Linked DNA regions of Schizosaccharomyces pombe. Changing the gene in region 2 together with the main gene of any one other region gives a genetic interaction. Each region holds a gene or a part of one and is shown on either strand. Other genes may lie near its edges.

Evidence for each region.
Region 1: mutations in SPOM_SPAC15A10.06 (region 2) and pof10 together harm fitness more than expected from each alone (negative genetic interaction), as found in Schizosaccharomyces pombe (one large-scale study listed by BioGRID).
Region 3: mutations in SPOM_SPAC15A10.06 (region 2) and pof2 together harm fitness more than expected from each alone (negative genetic interaction), as found in Schizosaccharomyces pombe (one large-scale study listed by BioGRID).

Annotation. Positions count from the first base shown.
Region 1 is NC_003423.3:2,923,721-2,932,270, reverse strand, and holds pof10 (F-box/WD repeat protein Pof10), read right to left. Parts: upstream 6,758-8,550; 5' UTR 6,709-6,757; coding exon 6,651-6,708; exon of another isoform or gene 6,597-6,650; coding exon 4,717-6,596; 3' UTR 4,481-4,716; downstream 1-4,480. Other genes in the region: SPOM_SPBC1703.09 (uncharacterized protein), read right to left, coding at 44-508; fau1 (5-formyltetrahydrofolate cyclo-ligase), read left to right, coding at 1,082-1,163, 1,209-1,337, 1,383-1,511, 1,560-1,721, 1,773-1,885; acl1 (ATP citrate synthase subunit 1), read right to left, coding at 2,099-3,712, 3,977-4,050, 4,098-4,257; rio2 (RIO family protein kinase), read right to left, coding at 7,070-8,038, 8,193-8,258. UniProt on the Schizosaccharomyces pombe protein: Probably recognizes and binds to some phosphorylated proteins and promotes their ubiquitination and degradation.
Region 2 is NC_003424.3:3,686,823-3,692,574, forward strand, and holds SPOM_SPAC15A10.06 (CPA1 sodium ion/proton antiporter), read left to right. Parts: upstream 1-1,824; 5' UTR 1,825-1,959; coding exon 1,960-1,984; intron 1,985-2,499; coding exon 2,500-2,816; intron 2,817-2,899; coding exon 2,900-3,619; exon of another isoform or gene 3,620-3,661; coding exon 3,662-4,303; downstream 4,304-5,752. Other genes in the region: cytochrome C oxidase assembly factor Coa2, read left to right, coding at 1,223-1,483; SPOM_SPAC15A10.07 (uncharacterized protein), read left to right, coding at 4,569-5,057.
Region 3 is NC_003423.3:2,615,139-2,622,932, forward strand, and holds pof2 (F-box protein Pof2), read left to right. Parts: upstream 1-2,723; coding exon 2,724-3,914; exon of another isoform or gene 3,915-3,950; coding exon 3,951-4,090; exon of another isoform or gene 4,091-4,137; coding exon 4,138-4,198; 3' UTR 4,199-4,338; downstream 4,339-7,794. Other genes in the region: SPOM_SPBC25B2.10 (Usp (universal stress protein) family protein), read left to right, coding at 1,383-2,306; TATA-binding protein-associated factor Mot1, read right to left, coding at 4,566-7,794. UniProt on the Schizosaccharomyces pombe protein: Involved in substrate recognition in ubiquitin-dependent degradation.

The DNA.
Region 1 (8,550 bases), on a different chromosome or scaffold from region 2:
TTGTTAAGATAAGAACTTCCAAAAGAATATATTGCACACTTACCTTTATACAGTTTCGAGATATTCGAATAAGAGCGTTAATAGATGACATGAAAAAGAACCGATTTTTTTGATACTTTTGCAAAATCAATTGTTCTGACATCGCAGTAATTTCTAGATGAATTCGCTGTAATGCTGATTCCATAGCAGCAACTCTGTTCTGTTGTTGCTTTAATATTGATAATTGTAGTTGAACGTTTTGGTTAACTGCAACGAAAATTAAATTATCTGGATTCTTCTTAACAATGGTTTGAGATTTGTTTGGTTCTATAGTTAACTGAGACGTGATAGGAGATATTTTGTTAGAACGGTCAACAGTTTGTGTACTATCAGAAACATCTGCAGGGATAAATTCCGTTGCTTCAACTTTTCCTTGTAACACTATTTCCCATAGCTGCTTAGTAGTAATAAACGAAGATTTTGGCATGATCATACTCGCCGTATTCGCAAGAACCTGATTATCCTGCATGCCTACAAAAAAAACGCATTTCAGGCTCTGACAAGTATGATGAATTACAAAAATAAAATAAGAAGCTTCTCCAAATATCTTATAAAACACAGAAACAAATGTTTTTGAAGATTTAAGAGAGTCGTGGTAGAGGAGGTATGAATTAACAAAAGAACTGTCAGTAAGTATTCAGTCAACTAAGGAATACATATCTGAAAACTTGCGCGCAATGTAAAATAGGTAAATCAATCAATATTTTTAACAATATCAGCAAGTTTAAGTGCATAAAATGGTTTTACGCCATCGTTGAACCTATATTTTAATTTTAAACAATTGTCATCATAAATTGTATTGGAAAATTTTTTTAATACTTAACTTCTTACTGAACATTTGGATATTTCTTAGATATACAATTAACTCAAGCTATTAATTCATTTAATATTAACATGAATTTTGATTACCTAGTATATATATTATATTCTATAAAATTGATAACCGATTTATAACACGAGTCAGATTAATATTGATAATATTGTGAACCTCACTAACAAAGCTTTTACTAACTATAAATATTAAGTCGTATTAGTCAAAGTAATGAGTTTAAAAAAGAATCAACTACGTGCTATTTTAAATAGCAGTTTAGGCAAACTTGCGGATCATATTATTGATTCTCAATGTAAGTATACTTAAAATATCAAGCTTAACAATTAAATGCATAAAGCAATTTCCATTTGCAAACAAGTGGTCGAATTACCCGAATGGAAAAGATGCAAAAATGTCTGTCTGTACATGAACATGCCAAAAAAAGAAGTACGAACTAGATGCCTTATAGACGTGGCTTTCAAAGAAGGTTAGTATTAAATCTTTCAATACATTACTAATCATGCAAAAATAGGCAAAAATGTTTTCATACCTAAATGTATTGGTTCGCATGTAATGGAAATGTATCAAGTTTTCGAGAAAACTGAGTCCTTGACGATTAACAAATGGGGTATTGCTGAGCCCAATGGAGAATCAAGAAAGAGTTGGTTAAAATTCTGGTAGAATTGTTCAATCTATTAATCATATTTAGTTATGGATGATGAAACAGACTGTGAACTTATAATAGTTCCGGGAGTCGCTTTTGATGAAAAATTATCTAGACTAGGGCATGGAAAGGGGTACTATGACAATTACATTTCCAAGTATCAAAGCTGGGCGTTACAAAAGGAATCACGAGCTAACATGTTCAAAGGTTCGTTTCCAATCTCGCTGTGTAATTCATATAAACAACTAACGTGACCAGTGGGAATTTGCCTTAAAGAACAAATACTTCCAAATCGAGAAATCCCAATGGATACCAGAGACCAAAAACTGGATGCCCTTGTTACGCCGGAAAAAGTAATCAGAAATATATAGTACAAAATCTTATTCTTATCTGCAAGTTGCAATTTAGATGACTACGTATTAATATTTATGGACTAATAATAAACAAATTTTAAGTCCCCTTAAATCTCTGGTAAAATATTTTCGTACGGCGGAGAAGTCAATCCAAACGACCACTAGAAGACTGTTCACGATAATCCGAAAAGCAAAACCTATTCCAAAACAGAACAAACTTAAGTTCATAATCTAAGACAAATACAAGAAATCGTCCCAAGGGTGACGATAAAGAGGTGCCCTAAGACGTTTCTGATCGAGATGATGACCAATAAGACCAATACTACGTCCCAACACGAACATACCATTCAAGATACCCAAATTGATATATTCATTAGCTTCTTCAAGAGTGAAAGCACCACAGTTACGAAGTAAATCGACAAAGCATACAGCAATACAGCCATCAACGTTCAAGATAAGGTTATCCTTCTTGGAAGTAGTGACATTCTCTACGGCCAAAGCGTAATCTAAGAGCTTAGTTGAAGGGAAATTCTTTTTAACGTAACCCTTGACCAATTCAACACGAAGATCAGGATTATTTCTACTCTTAATTCTATGTCCAATACCAGGAATCAATTTGTTGGCCTTACGGCAAGAGTCAACAAAAGCACGTGGAGATAACCCTGCGTCATAAGCTTTAGAAAACTCTTGAGCAGCTCCATCAAGCGCACCACCGAATCGGGTACCGATAGTAAGCAAACCGGCAACAAGTGAAGAAATCAAATCTTTTCCTGCTCTGGTAGTAATAATGGTATTCATAGCGCCAGACACACATGGTCCGTGATCAGCCGTCAATTGAAGGACCATTTCCAAGAACTTTGTAGCATATGAAGGTAAGCGGCGACGCAACCATAAAAGAGAAATGACACCACCAATTCCAAGTTCTTCTTCAAAAACCTTAGAGATGGGAACGTTGTTATAAGTCAACTCAGAACCACGGTCGTTGGAGATAGTGCAAATGAAGGAAGAGGGCTTACGAACCAAGCCTAATTCCTTAGCCCAAGCATAATCTAAAGGAATGTTAGGTGGTGCGACCTCAGGTTGAGGAACAATAACACCCTTTTTCACAAGACCCTCATAAACCTCTTGTAGCAACGCAGGAAGCTTTTCAAATGTTTCAGGAACATATATACCAGCTTCTCTCATAGCCTGATTCTTGGCGACAGCAGTCTCCAACTCAGAGTTGGCAAATGAACCAGCATGTCCAAATTGAACCTCGGTTTTAAACATACTAGAGCATGTACCAATAGCCCAAGCAACAATAGGCTTTTTAATTGTACCGTTCTTAACAGCTTCAATGACACGGTATTCTTCCACTCCACCTACTTCGCCTAGAAGTACCATCAGCTTGCAAGCGGGATCAGCTTCGAAGCGGATAAGATGATCAATAAAAGTAGTACCTGGATAACGGTCACCTCCAATAGCAATACCCTCATAGACGCCATCAGTGGTATGCGAAATGATATTGTTTAACTCATTAGACATACCGCCTGACTTGGAAACGTATGCAACAGATCCAGGACGATAAAGCTTGGAAGCTACAATGTTGTCCATCATACCACCAGTATTTCCGATTTTGAAACATCCTGGTTTAATACCACCAACGGTAGCAGGCCCAATAATAACCACATTCTTCTCCTTAGAGGTTACCAATATCTCACGAGCACGGCGCTCAGGGACACCTTCCGCAATAATTGCAATACAGCGAATTTGAGGAAACTCCATCAACTCCATAGTTGAGGCATAAGCACTACGGCTCGAAGCAAAATTAACAACGACGTCAACCTCAGGATGTTTGGTACATGCCTAATTATTTCAGTTAATAAATCTTTTAAGATTAGAAAATTTTTTTTATTAGTGATAATGCTAGTCGCAGCATTTCTATTTTCTGCAAAATAATCGAAATTGAATTCAAACTTAAAGAAAATAGTCTTACTGTGATTTAATCATTTCCGTCTGCGATTTGTTGTAGAAAACGAATCACTGATGTAATATCGAAAATCAGCATGAACATCTTTTGCTAAAACGCTTATTTGCAAACTAATAAGCATATTTATGCGGACAACTTACTTCTTCAATTGTACGATAAACAGGCAACAGAATTTCTTTAGTACCCCAATAAAGCTTGCTGATACTTTGACTTCCTAAGCACGCGTTAGTATTCAAATTTTTATATCAACGAAGCACATACCGAACGTATATATGATAGCAGCTACAGATGGAACAGTTCTACCACACATATAATCAAAGTCAAGCATTCCTTGAACAGCCTTTGTCTGCATGCCATACACAAAGGCTCTGGTGTCCTTGGAAAAAAGCTCATAAGAAGGTTTATCCACTGATCCCGCCATTGTTGTTCTTGTCACTGTGTTGGAGGAGGTAAGGAACGTTCGCTCATTGTTTTGCTGAACACTTTTTTACATTTAACGAGATGTTTGCGATAATTGAAATTTTGAAAATCAGATAACGCAATCAAGCGATACTTTTTATACATTCACTGATCAACGGTGCGTATGCCTTAAGAATATTTTTTTATGCTTTTATTAAGCAATAATATTATCCTTAAATAAGCATAGTAGGATATAAGAAAATACGTATTCCTAAAAGATTTTATTAACAAAATTAAAGTAACCTCTATTTTGAATTATAAAAATTCCCACCAAAATCCCTTGAATCCTCCTCCTTTTTTTACTTCGGAAGATTGATGAAGCATGTAATAAATAGATGAAGGACATGACTATATGCAGATGCAAAAATTTAACTAACGTATATTTTTCTACTTTTTCCCTCTTAGTAAACTACTAGGTGTATCACATTTCCATGAGTGATAATCGCATGGCTAGTTCAATCTGCTCTTGTTCGTTCAGTTCAGCAACATTCGCTTGTTCTTGCGGTGGCTCATGATTTGAACTTAAAGCATTTAATGACGATGTAGCTTGTTCATCGTTTTCTTTAAAATCTTCTTCTATTTTATCAACATCCATGGAGAGCTGAACCATTCTCTTAGCTTCCTCTTCTTGTGAAAGCATGGTAACATATGCTATGATTTCTTCTTCACTTAAACCAACCAAGCCCTCACCAAAATGCTGTTCAAATTTTTGCCGGGCTTCCATTTTTTCTCGTCTTTCCTGAGCAATTTGGTCCAAACCTAACATGATTTCTCTTTCGACTTCATTTTTTGAGTAGTCAGACGACTTCGACAGATTATCGTGTGTCACCGAAGGTCTCAAGGGTAAAACCTTGGACCTTTTATTAACAAAAGGTTTGGGAATTGTATAAGACCAAGATTTGACATGCTTGCTCATGGTGATCACACCTTTCAAACTTAACGGATTTGAGTCAAGCAGTATGCAATTAATTGGTTCTCTTCTAGCAGCATTCCTGGCACTCGCTATTTTTTTCAAAAAATTCCCAGTAACGGTATCGTATACTCCGCAATAGCCGCTAGCCGACCCTACTACCATTGCAACTTCATTCAAGTAAATATCGGTAATAGGAAAATTTGAGTATGCAGTAATAGTTCTAAGAATGGCCTTGTTAGGATCTTCAGTGCGAGTGTTTACAACATAAACCAAACCATTTTCATCACCAACAGCGAGCAGTCTTGCTCCTCTACCAGGAGTTGATTTTGACAACACACGATCGTTCGTATCTAAGGAGATTGAGGTTGGTTTTCCGTTGAGAGGAATTGAAGATGTTTGAACGCCGACATTATCGTTTTTCTCCAAAAATTCTTTAAATGAAACTCGACAAATACAATTTTTCGGTGCGCCCCTGGACAAGAAGGCAACACCGGCACAGCAATCTGCCGTCATCAGACAAGGAGGTTCCTCTTCATCAGTTAACACACATTTTCTGGACGATAAAAGTATAGGCTGCTCATTCTTTCGGGAGCGAGCATAGCCCGGTATTAAGTATAATTGATATGAGTTAAGTTCATAATTAAAAGTGTCAACGAGTAGCATTTTGTATTTCGGCCTGAAACACAAAGAAAGGATTTGTGAAGAACGGAATTGAAATGATTGAAGACTAACACCTGTTTTAACATCCCAGCAATGCACGGATCCATCATCTGATCCAGTAACCATACCGATTTCCCCAGTGGGGGGCAAATCACCGGTTAATGCATCAATGCATGTAACTGAATCAGCATGGGAATCCAGACAATAACGAAATTTTCGAGGAGTCTCGGCTTGACGTGACATCAAAATAACTCCAACGCGACCATCCATAAAACCAAAGCCAAAAATTTGTTTCCCCAATGTCATTGTAGATAATCCATGCGTAAAGCTGCCATCAGTACTAGCATGTAATAAAGACCTCTCAACCTTTCCAGTGGTAGGGTCGGAAACGGAGATTGTTCCAGTAAGCCAATTTCCTGAATAAAGCCTTCCTGAAGAAAAGTCGTAATAAAGGTTGGTCAATTGTCCAACGCGACAATCATACTGAACTGTTTGCCCTTTCCCTTTTTCATAAGCTCTAGTAATGGTAGAACGTAAAAGATATTCTTGCCGCCATGTTCCATTACCTAGTGGACTAAATATTTGCGACTGATCACCCGCAAAGTGATGAAAAAAAGCAGTACGCCAACTTAAATCATCGGATAATAACTTTTTCCAATATTTGCAAGTGCATTGAGCAGAAAGTAAAGAGCGAGGATCAAGAAACGAAAATATAATGATCAAAATTTCTAGAAAAAGTTAACAAAATCTCGAAAACTAAAATTGAATGTGTGAGAATTTACCTTTTGGCAGGTTTAAAACTGTTCTATTCGTATTATTTGAAGAATGATCCCGATTCATTCTCCTTAGGTTTGAGGATGTAAAATCCAAAGATGTTGGTTCCGATTTCATTGGTCTTGGCGTTTTGCCTTAGTATATAAAGTGGAACTTACTACGTGTACCAACGTATCGCTCAGAAAACGTCCTGTAATCATTAATTAACGAGCATTTTATATTCGAAAATTAATGTTTGCTTGTATCTTTTGATAGATTAATTAAAATGCTTTTATCTACATCCAAATTGAAATGAAAATTTAAAACAGTAACCAAAAAAGCTGAATATATTAACCCTATGCTAGTCCCTAACACCAGAAATACCTAATAAAATGAATAAATGATTTTACTGAACATGCAATTGTGCAATATGGTTTCATTAAAACCATCATTCCTTCTCTTCTTCTTCTTCTTCATAGTTATCAGATAAATCATCACCATTTTCTTTTCTTTTTTCTTCTTCTTGTCTATATTTTTCTAGTTCTTTAGATTGTTTCTTATTAAATCCTGAAGCCTCAATCATGATATCCAAATTATTTTCCTTTTCCATTTTCGATATGTCTTCGAAATTAGGAACATCACCTTTGTATTGATAGTTTTTTTCAAAATATTGCACAATGCACTGTACGTCTCTATCAAAATAAAATTGCGCATCAGGATGACTAGTAGATACCATTTGCGGAAAATCAATTACAACAGCTGTTCCATCTTCACGAACAATGATGTTAAATTCGTTGAAATCACCATGTATTAACCCATTCCTTGCAAATCGAACGATAATATCCATTAATGTCTGATATAGAGCAGGTGGATCACGAATGTCAGTAACAGCACGAAGAGGAAACGCATCAATCATTTCCATGATAATACAATGCCTGGAATGATCAATTGGAGCAGGTACAGGGAAACCATGCTCATGCAAGATCTTCATAAAAGCAAATTCTTTTGTGGCAGCTAATCGAGACAGATACTGCCATGATCCAGTTTTACGATTTCTCAAATAATCTCTATTGTTTTTTACACTCCGGAAAGATATACGCCCAAGCCTGTGGATTTTTAAGATATATTGCTTTCCTTTTTGGTCTCCTACGACGTAGACATCAGATTCTTTACCGACGCCTATTTGATTACCGACAGAGTAAACGGATGCTCTCTTTGACAAGGCCTTCAATGCCAAGTAATCATATCCCGCATATGTTAGTCGATAGCCCTCATAGCTGATATGCGGCACCTTTGCAATTAATTTATGCATAAACAAAACGGACAATGATTTCGTACAAGAGCCACCGCGTATTTTAGCAATTTGATTAATCATATTCGTTGGAACAACTTCATGATTACGGCTTCCCATTTCTACCTATAACTTGTTAGTTCGAATACTTATTGAAATCAAAATATAATTAATTGAATGCATCATATCGTATGTGTCAATAAGTAAGAAAATACAAAACATTGTACGATCAAAACGATTTAAGCTATATGACTGCCCAAAGATAAAATAAAGTGCTTACAGCTGTCAGAGTGCGAAAATCCTCGGCAGAAAGATATCTCATTGCTTTTATATTCAAATTTACCATCTTGACGAGCTTAACTTTTTTTCTTGCTAAAAATAAAAAAATAAGTAAGAATGCTAATCAAAGTTCAATTCCGACAATCACTAAATTGTGGTTCTCGTCAAAATGGTTGGTGTTTTGGCTAAGTGTGCTTAAAGTATTACTTGCCATCTGAGAAACATTTTTTACTTCACGCTTTAAAATTATGTAACCACAAAAATGAATACCAACTTTTTTAAAATATGAGAGCTATACACAATTTTGTCTTTAAATATCTTATTTAAGCATTTCTCAATAATTTATTAATTAGGATTAC
Region 2 (5,752 bases):
CACACGATATATGAAGTCAATTCTACCTTCCTCAATATGATTTCATAATTCTCATGTAATACAAGTTTTGCTAATAAATTAATTGAATTCATACATCTATCAATAAGTAAGCAAAAACTACCTAAATAACATTCAAAATATGTTTTAATAGCCTTCGAGCTCAACATTTGAATAGGAAAACGAGATATCGTTTCTCTTCAACACCAAGTCTTTTATTTTGAATTCCGGTATGTAAATATCAAGATTTTTATTGTTCCTCCTCTTTTAGGCTAATGAGTTACAATATTTACTAAATGTTAATTGAAACATCCGATTTTACCCGGAAGTAATAGATAGACTGTGTGCATAAGATCAAATGCAGTACTTTGATTAAATACTAGACTTCCAATAATTTTGCAATACCTTGTTAATTCTTCATCTTGAATAAAACATACCCTTAATGTTTTTCTGCTGCTGGTTCCTTACTCTTTTCTGTTTAACGAGAATTTTCCTTTTGATATGGCAAAGGTTTTGCATGTGAAAATGACATTATTCTTTAAAAAATTCCATAAAAAAAAGAATTGTAAACTGTTGGAATTTTAAGATCCAGAAGTTTTTTCTTTGAAGCACACAAAGGTTTAAAAAACTTACATTCATCGATTCAACGCCATTATTTAAATTCCGTGCAAATATTTTACTCAATTATCCTATTTTAGACTCTATTTTAATAATCATATATACTTCAGCTTGCTTATTAGAAGGCCAAACACTTTGGCTATTTGTTTACCAAGGAAATGAAGGAATTGCAGATCCTTAATATTGAAAAAAGCAAAGCATTACTGTTGTTATTTTCTAATTGTTGGACCCGACATATGTTTTTGTTGTTACCATAAAAATGCTCTTGTATTGCTTATACAGGTCCTTCTTTATTTAATTTCTGAATATCTCGTTTTTGTTTCTGACAATTTAAACTAAAGACACAAAAATTAGTAATTAAAGAATGTTTATTTTTTATTAAACATCAATAACTCACAGTCTTTACTGTTTTAGTCATACATTGAATTGTGCCTTCTGAAGAGATCCTTATACTCTCATTGGTCATTGGCCATTGGGATATTCTCTATCCATATGGTACCTTAGTAGAAGTTTTGTAACTCATCTTCAACAATCGTCTCTTCTTCTTACGATTTAGCTGTTTTTTATAATTTTCTCATGTTTTTTTGTTCTTAAAAATTTCTTTCTAATGTTTCGTACTTTGAAAGCTTCACAGAAAAGGTCACTCGTGAACTTGATGTTCGGAACGACTGCTCTTTTCGCAACTGCCACCGTAATTTTCCCTTCATTACTGCCTTGTCCAGCTATGAAGAACCCATATTTGGATACCCAATCTGATCCTGGATATGAAGAATTACCTGAAAACTCTCGTGTTATTGTCATCGATCAACAATCTCCTAAAAGCTCTCTAGTTGCTTCCAAACAAAACAATCCTCCTTCAAAATCTTAATATAGGTCATCATAAAGCTTGAGAAATATTTTTATTATTGCATATATCAATCTCTCCCTTCTCTTCCTTCTTCATTCAATAGTTTCTAGGATTCCTTGCTTCCCTTTTGCGCTAGGTATTTCCCTAACCTACGTTTAGGGACTCCATAATATAATTTAAATACATTTTTTTTACTTCGAAACATCTTATAGTGATTACTTTCGTGTCACTATTAATATTTTTAGTACACTGACTTAAGTTATCTTAACATTTTAGCCCGCACATCTCGGCTGCGCATTAGGTTCTGGTATCTTGCTGTGGTAGTAGTATTTGTACTAGTAAACCCACTTAACGTCCTTACTATATACAGAAAGGTACTGCCGGTTGCTTCAATTCTTAATTATTTTTCTATTATTGCCTTTAGAGTACTCTAGTCAACTCTCAGCATCGCCAGGTTGTTAAAAAAAAGTTAGTTTACCTTTCACTTGGTGCTTTATATGCTTGATACAATTCTTATAAATGGTAAGTTTCCGTTATTCTTTACTTTCAGGTGCACATATAGTAAATCGAATACTATAACAGGCTATACGGATGAATGACACAAGCTACTCATTTATAGCATCAGCCATTTTGAAAACGTGCATTTTTTAACTGAACAAAAAATTGAGTTTGGAGTTTTACCATACGAAATGCTTGCCTTTTTTTTCTTCCATTATTTGTCAGTCTTTTTTTCTGCTTAATCGTTTTGGGATAGGATCTCGATCGCTCTTTACTAGCATTCAGTTCGTCAATACATTTTGGCATTGAATTAGCGGTTATGCGTTACGTTACTTTGAATAACTTCGAATGATGTTTTTCTCTTTATATAACATTTGCATTTGCAGCCAGCAATGTAAAATCTTTCGCCTTTCTTTTTTCTTTAATTTGGCGTCTTTTAATTAAGCAATGCCAGATTCTAAGCATTGGGTTATTCTCCGTATAGCTTATTGTTTAGTTACCAAAATTATTTTTCAACTTTTATTCTGACAATGTTTTAGTTTTTCGTCGAGATGGCGATGACGACGACGATGATGGTCAAGACCCTGCTTTGCAAGAATTATACTCAAGCTGGGCTCTTTTCATATTACTAGTCCTTTTGATTGGTGCCTTGCTTACTAGTTACTATGTTCAATCCAAAAAGATCCGGGCCATTCATGAAACTGTAATTTCGGTATTTGTTGGTATGGTTGTTGGGCTTATCATTCGCGTTTCTCCGGGATTGATTATCCAGAACATGGTTTCTTTTCATTCCACATATTTCTTCAATGTTTTGCTTCCCCCGATTATTCTCAATTCCGGTTATGAATTGCATCAGGTATATAGTTTTGAGTGAAATGCTATACTAAAGTCTCCATTTCTTTCCTTTATCTTTTTGTTATACTTTTCTAACCAATATAGTCAAATTTCTTTCGTAACATTGGTACAATTCTAACATTTGCCTTTGCTGGTACCTTTATATCTGCAGTCACCCTGGGAGTCCTAGTCTACATTTTCTCCTTTCTTAATTTTGAAAACCTTTCTATGACTTTTGTTGAAGCCTTGTCTATGGGTGCAACTTTGTCCGCTACAGATCCAGTTACTGTGCTTGCTATTTTCAACTCGTATAAGGTGGATCAAAAGTTGTATACTATTATTTTTGGAGAGAGTATCCTTAATGATGCTGTTGCAATCGTAATGTTTGAGACGCTGCAGCAATTTCAAGGAAAAACTTTACATTTTTTTACCTTATTCAGCGGTATTGGAATTTTTATTATCACATTCTTTATTAGTTTACTTATTGGAGTTTCTATTGGGCTCATAACTGCGCTTTTGCTAAAGTATTCTTATTTACGCCGTTATCCTTCTATAGAGTCTTGTATTATTCTCCTCATGGCATACACCTCCTACTTTTTTTCAAACGGCTGCCACATGTCAGGCGTAGTTTCCTTATTGTTTTGTGGAATAACGCTAAAGCACTATGCCTTTTTCAACATGTCATATAAAGCAAAGCTTAGCACGAAGTATGTTTTTCGGGTTCTTGCGCAACTCTCGGAAAACTTTATCTTCATTTATCTTGGCATGTCTCTGTTTACCCAGGTTGACTTGGTTTACAAACCAATTTTTATTCTGATTACCACAGTAAGTCAATTTACACTTATTTTCTTTACTAACTTGCCTAAGGTTGCCGTTACCGCATCTAGATACATGAACGTGTTTCCATTGAGCAATTTGCTCAACAAATTCCACCGTCAGAGAAATGGTAACCTCATTGATCATATACCTTACAGTTACCAAATGATGCTTTTTTGGGCGGGCCTACGAGGTGCAGTTGGAGTAGCGTTGGCAGCAGGCTTTGAAGGAGAAAATGCTCAAACGCTGCGAGCGACTACATTGGTTGTTGTCGTCTTGACCCTAATTATATTTGGCGGTACTACTGCCAGAATGCTCGAAATTTTGCATATTGAAACTGGTGTAGCGGCTGATGTTGACAGTGACACAGAAATCGGCATGCTACCTTGGCAACAGTCACCAGAGTTTGATTTGGAAAATAGCGCAATGGAGCTATCAGACGCTTCTGCTGAACCAGTTGTTGTCGACCAACAATTTACGACGGAACATTTTGATGAAGGCAACATTGCACCTACACTTTCTAAGAAGGTTTCAAGCACATTTGAGCAATACCAACGAGCAGCTGGTGCTTTCAACCAATTTTTCCATTCTTCACGAGATGATCAAGCTCAATGGTTAACGCGCTTTGATGAAGAGGTCATAAAACCAGTGCTTCTGGAGAGAGATAACCTTAAAAATGGAACAAAAAAATAATTGTTCCGATTCATAGAATTAATAGTCTACTTATGTTTACACAGTATATGTTCGTGTCAGTTTAATGAATATGCTTTTGGTCTTACGACCTCGTTTCTCCTTTTATCATTTATGAATTTTTAAGAAGGATTTTTTAATGAACTGATCTATTAAAATTCCCGTTGACTTATAGTTGACGTCTATGGTGTGGCATTCGCACATTACACGTACCCAAGTCGATGATTTTCCAACAACTACCAATTTCTTCCTTACTAACATTTTAAGCATGTCCGTAGTCTTTAGGACCGTAGAAGATCCTGAATTAAAGAGTATATGCACCACATTTACCTCTAGCATATCTGCTGAGTTTGATTCAAACACACTCGTATGTGATTTAGTTGAAACAGACCTTTTTACCGAAGAAGGCACATCTCAGATATTTACCTTTAAGAAGAATGTCCTCATTTTGCCAGCAAATGTTCCTGAAGGAATTGAATTACGGATTCTTGAAGAAAATGTTAGTCTTCCATTGAAGGAGTTTGAACCCATTAAAGTGCCAGCAGGTGCACATTGTTTCTTATCATGGGAAAAGGTTCCACTTCGTAAACGTATTAAAATCATATCATCTAGTCAACCAGATGATAATGACGAAGAATCTACATGGCCCGGTGTCTTTATCAAGTTTGGTGTTGAAAATTCTAGCTCTGCCGAATTTGGTGAACCTCTCAAGTCCCAAATTGAAATTCCTGATGATCAAAAGCTCATCGTGCAATAGTTTTGTGGTAATTCCAAGGATGAAATCACTTTGCTAAAAGAACCTGTTAATGATGATGAGTTTCCAGCAAAGGTTCGACGAATATTTTGGTGTTCCTGATAATGAACAAATTTAATACGCATCCACTATTCATTATTAAAATTTCAAGCTCTAACCTTAATTATTGGATGTGTGATCCTTTGATTTCACACATTGTTTATTTAATCATTATTCGGTTAGACTTCCTTTCGTTAAATTAGCATTACAAGTTTATTGACATACATTTCATTTTACAATTTAGCTTTTGAAGATTTAGCTTTGTGAAGTAAACTTTCGCAACATACTTGATGTTTGCTTGAGCAACTTGCTATTGTTTTTGCTTTGTTCGCCGTCTATACGTTTAAGCGATCTATTGTTAAAGGTGCTATTGTTTCAAGTCTTTCTCTGACGAATTTTTGCTGTATGTATTAATTTTTCGATTGCTCAGGTACGTTCACATCTATTAAGGACTGGTTTTTCTCAATTAGTCCTTTTGGATATTATTTAAAAATTTATCCACCGAATACGTTTCCTGAGTTAGTGTAATTAGGCCTCAAAATGGTAATTCAAATTCCTTTTGAAGCCAATTTCCATGCGATGTATGCAATTGTATAAATCGAGAAGGAGCTTAAATAAATTTTAGATATACACTAAATTTTCGTTTTTTAAAAAAGTAG
Region 3 (7,794 bases), on a different chromosome or scaffold from region 2:
ACAACAAATAGGGTAGTTAAGTTACGCGCCAAATATGCTTATATATGTATCTTTCCAAAATCAATGGGATTATATACAGTAAATAATACAAATCAAATTAGTGAAGATAAGAGGTGTATAGTTAGCAAAACTTCAACCAATGAATGTGTCTATATTGTTTGAAGAATTGATGTATCAAAAACATGTAATAGAAGGCGTCTATGGGGCTAAATAAATTTATTGTTGATTGAATATCATATGAGGATTAGATTGGTCATCACCAAATGTTTAAAAGTTAAAGTGCTCACTGCTTGATATTAAACTAGTCGTTATGCAATGTTGCTTCTATTTTGTAGGTAAAAATTCGAATTAAAGGTCTCGTTCAGGTATTCAAGAGGCGAGAGGTACGCGCATTTGACAATTCAAACATTAGTCTACATAGACGTTGTTTTTAGTAGCAACAAGTTTAAAATTAACAGATTTTTACAACATGACAAATTTGGATTTTACACATACACTTCATTTGAGCAAGCTAAGATTCCAAACATTTTTTAAAATTTCTTTATGAAAGTAGTAAAATGAAGAAATTGTAACTATTTTTTATTAATATAACAAATAATACCGATGCAAACTGGTTTAAATGGTCAATGCCCCAATTTCGTTCATGACTATTGTATGCTTTCACTGAAAAATTGTTTTTTTTTTATTGTTTTGGAATTTGGTAATACTGTGTGGCATTATAGACGGTGCACAGAGCCAGAGCAATACTAGAAAAGGCAGTTATAGGAAGAGCCATCTATCAATTAGAAATAATTGCTTACAACTTACACAAAAAACCTGGCTATGTTTATTAACACCTTTTTCACGTTTTAGCTTAATTACCGATACACATTCATCAGCTGCTACAAACCATAAATTGGGAAATATCTTACATATTTGGTAACCGAAAGAATCAAGTAACTAGAATTTAATTACGTTGATTCAGTTTAAAATTTAGTATAACAAGCACCACTGGTTTCCTCATAATGTTAGTTTTAAGATCTTGGGCATTAGCTTAGCACAATAGAATGGAGGGTTGACGCGGCCGTTACACATGACTTCACTTATTTGTCCACCACATACATACTTCCGGCAGCTCACTCTTCGTTGTAGGAAATATCGTAACTTTTAAATATTTATACAAATAAAAGCATTTTGTTTTGAAAAAAGAAGTTTTCTAATATATCATTTGAAAATAATAAACGAATTTCCCAAGTTTAATTAAGGCACCACTTTCAATTTTTTAACATTTACTCCGAATTAGAGTTGAATATAGTACCTTGTTTCATGTACAGGGTCTGCAAAATTGTGCAGAGAAATTGATTGTTTAAAAGTCCCAAAATTTAATCAAGTGAGAAGTTTAGATGAGTGAATCTGCACCCGCTGGTTCGAAGGAGGGAGTTTCATTCGGTAATCTCCCTCGTCCTGAGCCACGAACTTCTAAAGACCAGCAGAAGTTATCCATTTCTACCGATGTTAAAAAACCATCTCATTCTGCTCCTGTTACGCCGGTTCGGAGTGCCAGGAGCTCAATGGAACAGCCAACGTTTCGTCCTGTTGCAAAAAATTCCGTAACAGTGGCACCTGCTCGGGCGGCTGGATTCTGTCCTCCACAATTTGAGGAATATCATCATGGACGTTCCCATAGTCTTGTTTCACCACCTCCGAGTCCACATTTTCTAAAAAGGATTTCGTTCGATACGTTTAATAATAAAGCGGCTACAGATTTTTCCCTGACTCTGAAAACACAACATCAAGCTTACAAGTGGACAAGAACGTCTCGCACTTTTTTGTGTGGCATGGATGGCAATTCGTATTCTGAAGTTGCAGTCGATTGGTTATTCGAAACACTTTTAGCCGACAACGATGAAGCAGTAGTATTAAGAGTAATTGATCCTTCTTCCAAGCTAGCGGAGGATTTATCGGATGAACAATCTTACAGATCTTTAGCTGAACATATCATGGCAGGCATACTCAAGAAAGTTGATGATGATAAAGCTGTTTCTATAATAGTTGAACTCGTGGTTGGTAAACCTCAAGATATGATCCTTCGTACTATACACGTTTATTCACCTGATAGTCTTATTGTCGGTACTCGTGGCAAAGCCTTAAATAGCTTTCAGTCTCTTCTTTCTAGCGGAAGCGTTTCCAAATTTTGTTTACAAAAAAGCCCCATTCCCGTAATTGTTGTTCGACCTGATCGAAAACGAGTTCGTTCAAAAAACAAGCGCCTTAAGGACAAAACGAGAAAGTCCTATATGGAAATTTTAGAGAAAAGCGGTCGCTAATACGAATAGTTCTCTAACTTGCCAATTTATGATTAATACTTGCTTTATGACATGTAATATTTAATGCGTTTGATAAATTATTCGCAAAACGGTTGAACATTGATTTCTTTATTGTCTATTTTAAAAAAGAGCAAAAAAAATAAAGCTTTAATTTTTTTTGTTCGCTAAGCTAAAGCGTGCGGAATTTTAATGTTTAGAGTATATCTATCGTGTATTTGAGATTTCTTAATGTCAATTAATTTGTTTGTCTCTGGATTTAACTATGATAATTTGGAACATGCGTACGTTATGCTGCGTAATTTAGTTGAAATGAAAATTGTTTGTTTACATCCATTTATCATTTTAAGAATTTACGCTTTATTACCAACTCACATATTTTTCATTTATTCCCTATAGAAAAAAAATTTACCTTTACCAATGCGGGTGCCTAATGAAGTTTGTTTTAATATATTATCATATTTGGAAGCCGATGAGCTAAGGTGCAAATCGACAGTTTGTACTTCATGGAGGAATTTTATTATACCCACTTTATGGGAAAAAGTAGTATTTCAAAACGAAGCTCAATTAAATAACTTTTTTGATACTTTACAATACTCCAAGGATGTTTCGTACTATTTCAGGTATTTGCGCAAGCTGAATTGCTCTCGTGTTAGGAAATTTCTTACCGATAAACATTTAATGTTAATGACATTAGCAACAGGGATTTCTCGTCTGAATTTGTCTGGATGTACTCGCATTTCCGAGCCTCTTATTGGTAAACTGTTGTATCAGAATTTGAACTTGGTTACTATAAACTTCAGTAATATTTTCTCTTTACCGGCGAATATACTTGAATATATTTCTGATAATTGCCCTAATTTAAAAGCTTTGAATATTGGGAATTGTGGGTTAGTAGAAGATACCGGTATGGTTCAGATAATAAAACGTTGTCCGTACTTAAATCGGCTCATTATACCGAATTGTCGAAAGCTGACTGACGTCTCATTACAAATACTTTCTGAAAAAGAAGACCTGATTGAATTAGATATTAGTGGATGTGAAGGCTTTCATAATGCGGATACGCTGTCTAGGTTGGTCTCCAGAAATCGAGGTTTGAAAGAATTATCTATGGATGGTTGCACAGAATTGTCACATTTCATCACTTTTTTAAACTTAAACTGTGAATTAGATGCAATGAGGGCATTAAGTCTTAACAATTTACCAGATTTGAAAGACAGTGACATAGAATTGATAACTTGTAAGTTCTCAAAATTAAACTCTCTATTTCTTTCCAAATGCATTGGATTGACTGATTCGTCACTTTTAAGCTTAACAAAGCTTTCTCAATCTTTAACGACTCTTCATTTGGGACATTGCTATGAGATAACCGATATTGGTGTTCAATGTCTTCTAAAGTCATGTAAAAATATAACTTACATTGACTTCGGTGGTTGCCTTCGTTTGAGTGATATAGCAGTAAGTGCTATTGCTAAGTTGCCATATCTTCAAAGAGTAGGTTTGGTCAAATGCATTTGCCTTACTGACCTTTCTGTAATCTTACTAAGTGGGTCTTTTTCCAGAAACCTTGAACGAGTACATCTTTCTTATTGCATTGGACTAACCGCAAAGGTATGTAAAATATGCTATCTTTTCTAACCAAATTAGTCGGTTAGTTATTTGATGTATAACTGTAAAACGTTAAAGCATCTTAGCGTTACTGGAATTAACTCTATATTATGCACAGAATTGCGATCTTTTTCCCGTCCAATTCCAGATGGAATAAACCCGTCCCAAGTCCCGGTATTGTAAGTCTGTGGTTTTGACCTCTTAATAGTCACTAACTAATATACAGCTGTGCGTTCACTAAGGTCGAGATTGATTTGTTTCGAGAATTTATTCGTAATAGAATATAGAAATCAAACTTTTCACAGTTTCATTTAAGGCTTCAATTGACATGATGGCGTGCTTGTCCTTAACTATTCAATAATAAAACATTTTATAAAAAACGTTATTTACTCCGCAAGGTTTTTTTTTTTTTTTTTTTTTTTTTTTTTTTTTTTTTTTGATTGAACTAATCAGCAGATGGTAGCTATATATTTACAAGTACAAAAAAGTAGATTTATTACATATTATCAAAAAAACCTCTCACTCTTACAAAAGATAAGTTAAACATAGTTTCTTAAAAGAAAACCTATTTTATTGTACACCTTTCATATTGCATTACCATTCACATTAGTTAATAATTAATTTTTTTTATGGGGGTTCCATACTAACTCCTGTTCAAGAAGCATCCTTGGGTAAAGTAGATATGAAACCATCCAAATTAAATTCATCATATTGGGATTCATCCCACATTTCTGGAAGCCCTTCAAGAGCCTTTTTAGAAGTACCACTTAGACCGCGACCTGCCGCATCTTCCGATTCTTCTTTGTCAATATTTTGTACAGTTTGTTGTTCATCAGCAGTAGTGTTAAAAAGGTCTAAAATCTGATCGGTTCCAATTGAAGAAAGACCAGCATTTTGCTGATTAACAACCGTTGATGCCACGTTCATTTTAAACCTCTGAAGGCCCATTATTTTTTCCTCAAGACATCCTCGAGTGATTAAACGATACACATTCACCACCTTTTTTTGTCCAATACGATGAGCTCTGTCCATTGCCTGCAAATCTCGCATGGGATTCCAGTCATGCTCAACAAAAATAACGGTATCAGCACCAGTAAGATTAAGACCAAGACCACCAACATGAGTCGTTAACAGAAGAACATCTATTGAAGGATCATTATTGAATTTGGTAACAGCCTCTTGACGCTTGGTTGGCTCAACTGACCCATCAAGGCGCATGTAAGTAACATCGGGCATAGTAGCTTGCAACAGATCTTTCTCAACCATATCTAACATGTCTTTGAGCTGGCAGAAAATCAACACACGATGTTCACTAACTGCATTCGTTAATGCACTATCAATACCATTCGAGTTTACTGAAGAATTACCCAAGCCACAATCTCGAAGCAATTGACCAAGTGCAGTCAATTTTGGAGCATGCTTTAAGTCATGTAAACCACTATTTTCTTTAGCTAATTGCTTAACAATGGCATTTCGTTTTGGATGCTTCTCTGTCAAAATCAAAGCAGGATGATTGCAAAGTTTACGCATGTATTGCAAAGCCTGGAAAATATGAGCTTTCTGGGATTTCTTCTTTCTTGTACCTTGAGTTTTTTCCGTTTCATCATCTTCGAGCTCTTCATTGATGTTCAACTGAGATACAAAATCATTAAGAAGCTTTCTTTGCAGATCGCTCATATCACAATAATAATCTTGTATTATCTTTGGGGGCAAATCTGCTAAAACATCTTCTTTTAATCGCCTAAGCATAAACGGAAGCACTTGCTTATGGATAGCCTCGAGTGCCAAAGTGCCTCTTTCCCGCTCTTTCGATGAGCTTTTTGCATCACGACTAGCAGCGATAGGACGAACAAATCGTTCTTGAAATGTCTTTTCAGTTCCCAAAAACCCAGGCATTAGAAAATCAAAAAGAGACCAAAGCTCTAGCACATTGTTTTGAATAGGTGTTCCTGACAGAATTAGTCGATGATAGGACCTTAAACTTTTAACCGCTTTTGTGAGCTTAGCTCGTGCATTTTTTATAACATGACCCTCGTCAAGAACACAGTAGTTCCAGTCAATTTTTACTAATTCATCCACATCATTCCGACATATGTCATAAGACGTGACAACAACATCGGACTTCTTCATTTTTGATCTTATTTTTGCTCTTTCCGCTGGAGGTCCTACATATGCAGACACTTTCAAAAATGGTGCATAAGTACTAAGTTCTTGCTGCCAATGGCCGGCTAATGTAGATGGACACACTATCAACGAAGGAACGTGAGCAAACTTGGGACTTCCTGATTCTTCAAATAATTTTTGGCGGTTATAATGATCACTTGCGACTATACAAATAGTTTGCAAAGTCTTACCCAACCCCATATCATCACATAAAATCCCATGAAGTTCATACTTATTTAAGAAAGCCAGCCAATTAACACCTTCCTGTTGATATTTCCTTAAATCAGCAGAGATGGGGACAGGAATTGAGAATGCTTCGACCTTAGAAGGATTCAGCATTTGTTCTAAAAATTTGCGCTCCTTTTCACGACTATCAAGTAGATATTGAGGCAAGTCTGGCGGATCAGGAAGTCCAGCTTCAAGTGGTACTAATTTAACAAGTGTTGCAAAGGAAGTCGTAGCTAGCACACGTACATCCTGGTCAGCATCACTCATTCGACCTAACAAGGGAATAATTAAGTAAAGTATGTAGGGAAGGATACGGACTCCTAGACGTTGAACAACATGATATATGCACTCAATAGCTCCTTGTCTGTGGATTGTGCTACTAGCATCTCCTAAAAGTGGAACAACATCCTCAACAAGAAGATGAAGAGCCTTTGATCCCGCAGCATTTGATTCAGTAATAGCAGCAAAGCATTTTGATGCCATATTGCGTACGGCGGAATAATTCGATTGTAAAGTTGCTAGTAAATGAGGCAAAGTACTGACAATTTCAGATTGAAGACCGGAATCTAAGTACGCAACTAAAAATCGCAATATAGACATTGCATCCAGTAAGTCTTGCCCAACTGTACAGCTGGCCTGGTCAACTTCACTAGGAAATCCAGATTCAGCGTATTGCTGTAAAGGAACAAATAGACACTGGGACAACACGGGTACCCTAGAAAATAGGGAGCTGCCAAAATTTTGAGCCATTTGTTGAAGCGTTAGCTGCGCACCCATTCTTTGTAAGACAGCAGCATCCTTATCCGAAACTGAAGACAGCGAAGACTTTCTGTCGTTACTTACATCATCGGAATCATCAACTAACTTCCCTGAGACCTGTTCATCGTTGTCATCGCTTGTGCCTATACTATGTAAAGACAATATTCCATTTTTCCCTGAGTCATGAAATATTGGAGTTTCAGTAGTATCCATACATACATAAGCACATAAATTTCTAACGATTTTCTCAGAAATAACTTGCCGAGATTCTTTATAGCATGCTGAAATTAACTTCATCATAGCTGATGCTGAATGCATTTGAAGACAAGAAAATTGTTCCTTTTTTATGGACTCCATAATACCCTTAATTATTGAATTTAACTTTTTCGGAAGCTTATCATATGTAACCATCGCGGAAGCAATTGAAGCACTACACTGAATATCCTGTCTTTCTTTTGCAATTTTGTAAATAGAGATCTCGTCAATTATTAAATATTTTATCTCGTTTAGGGCTTTTGACGATTGCGCTTTTTGAGAGGGGGACAACAACTTGCATAAATTTTCATATGTAGGACCAACGAGTTTTTCAGCATCCGCTATACCAAAGGCAATTGGGCCAGCTTCGGGATCCCCTTTGACAACAACAGCTAATGAAGGAATTTTTGAACGAGAAAGACGCCCTACATCCAAAAAGGTGTTGAGCAATGCATTACACTGGGCACGTACAACATGT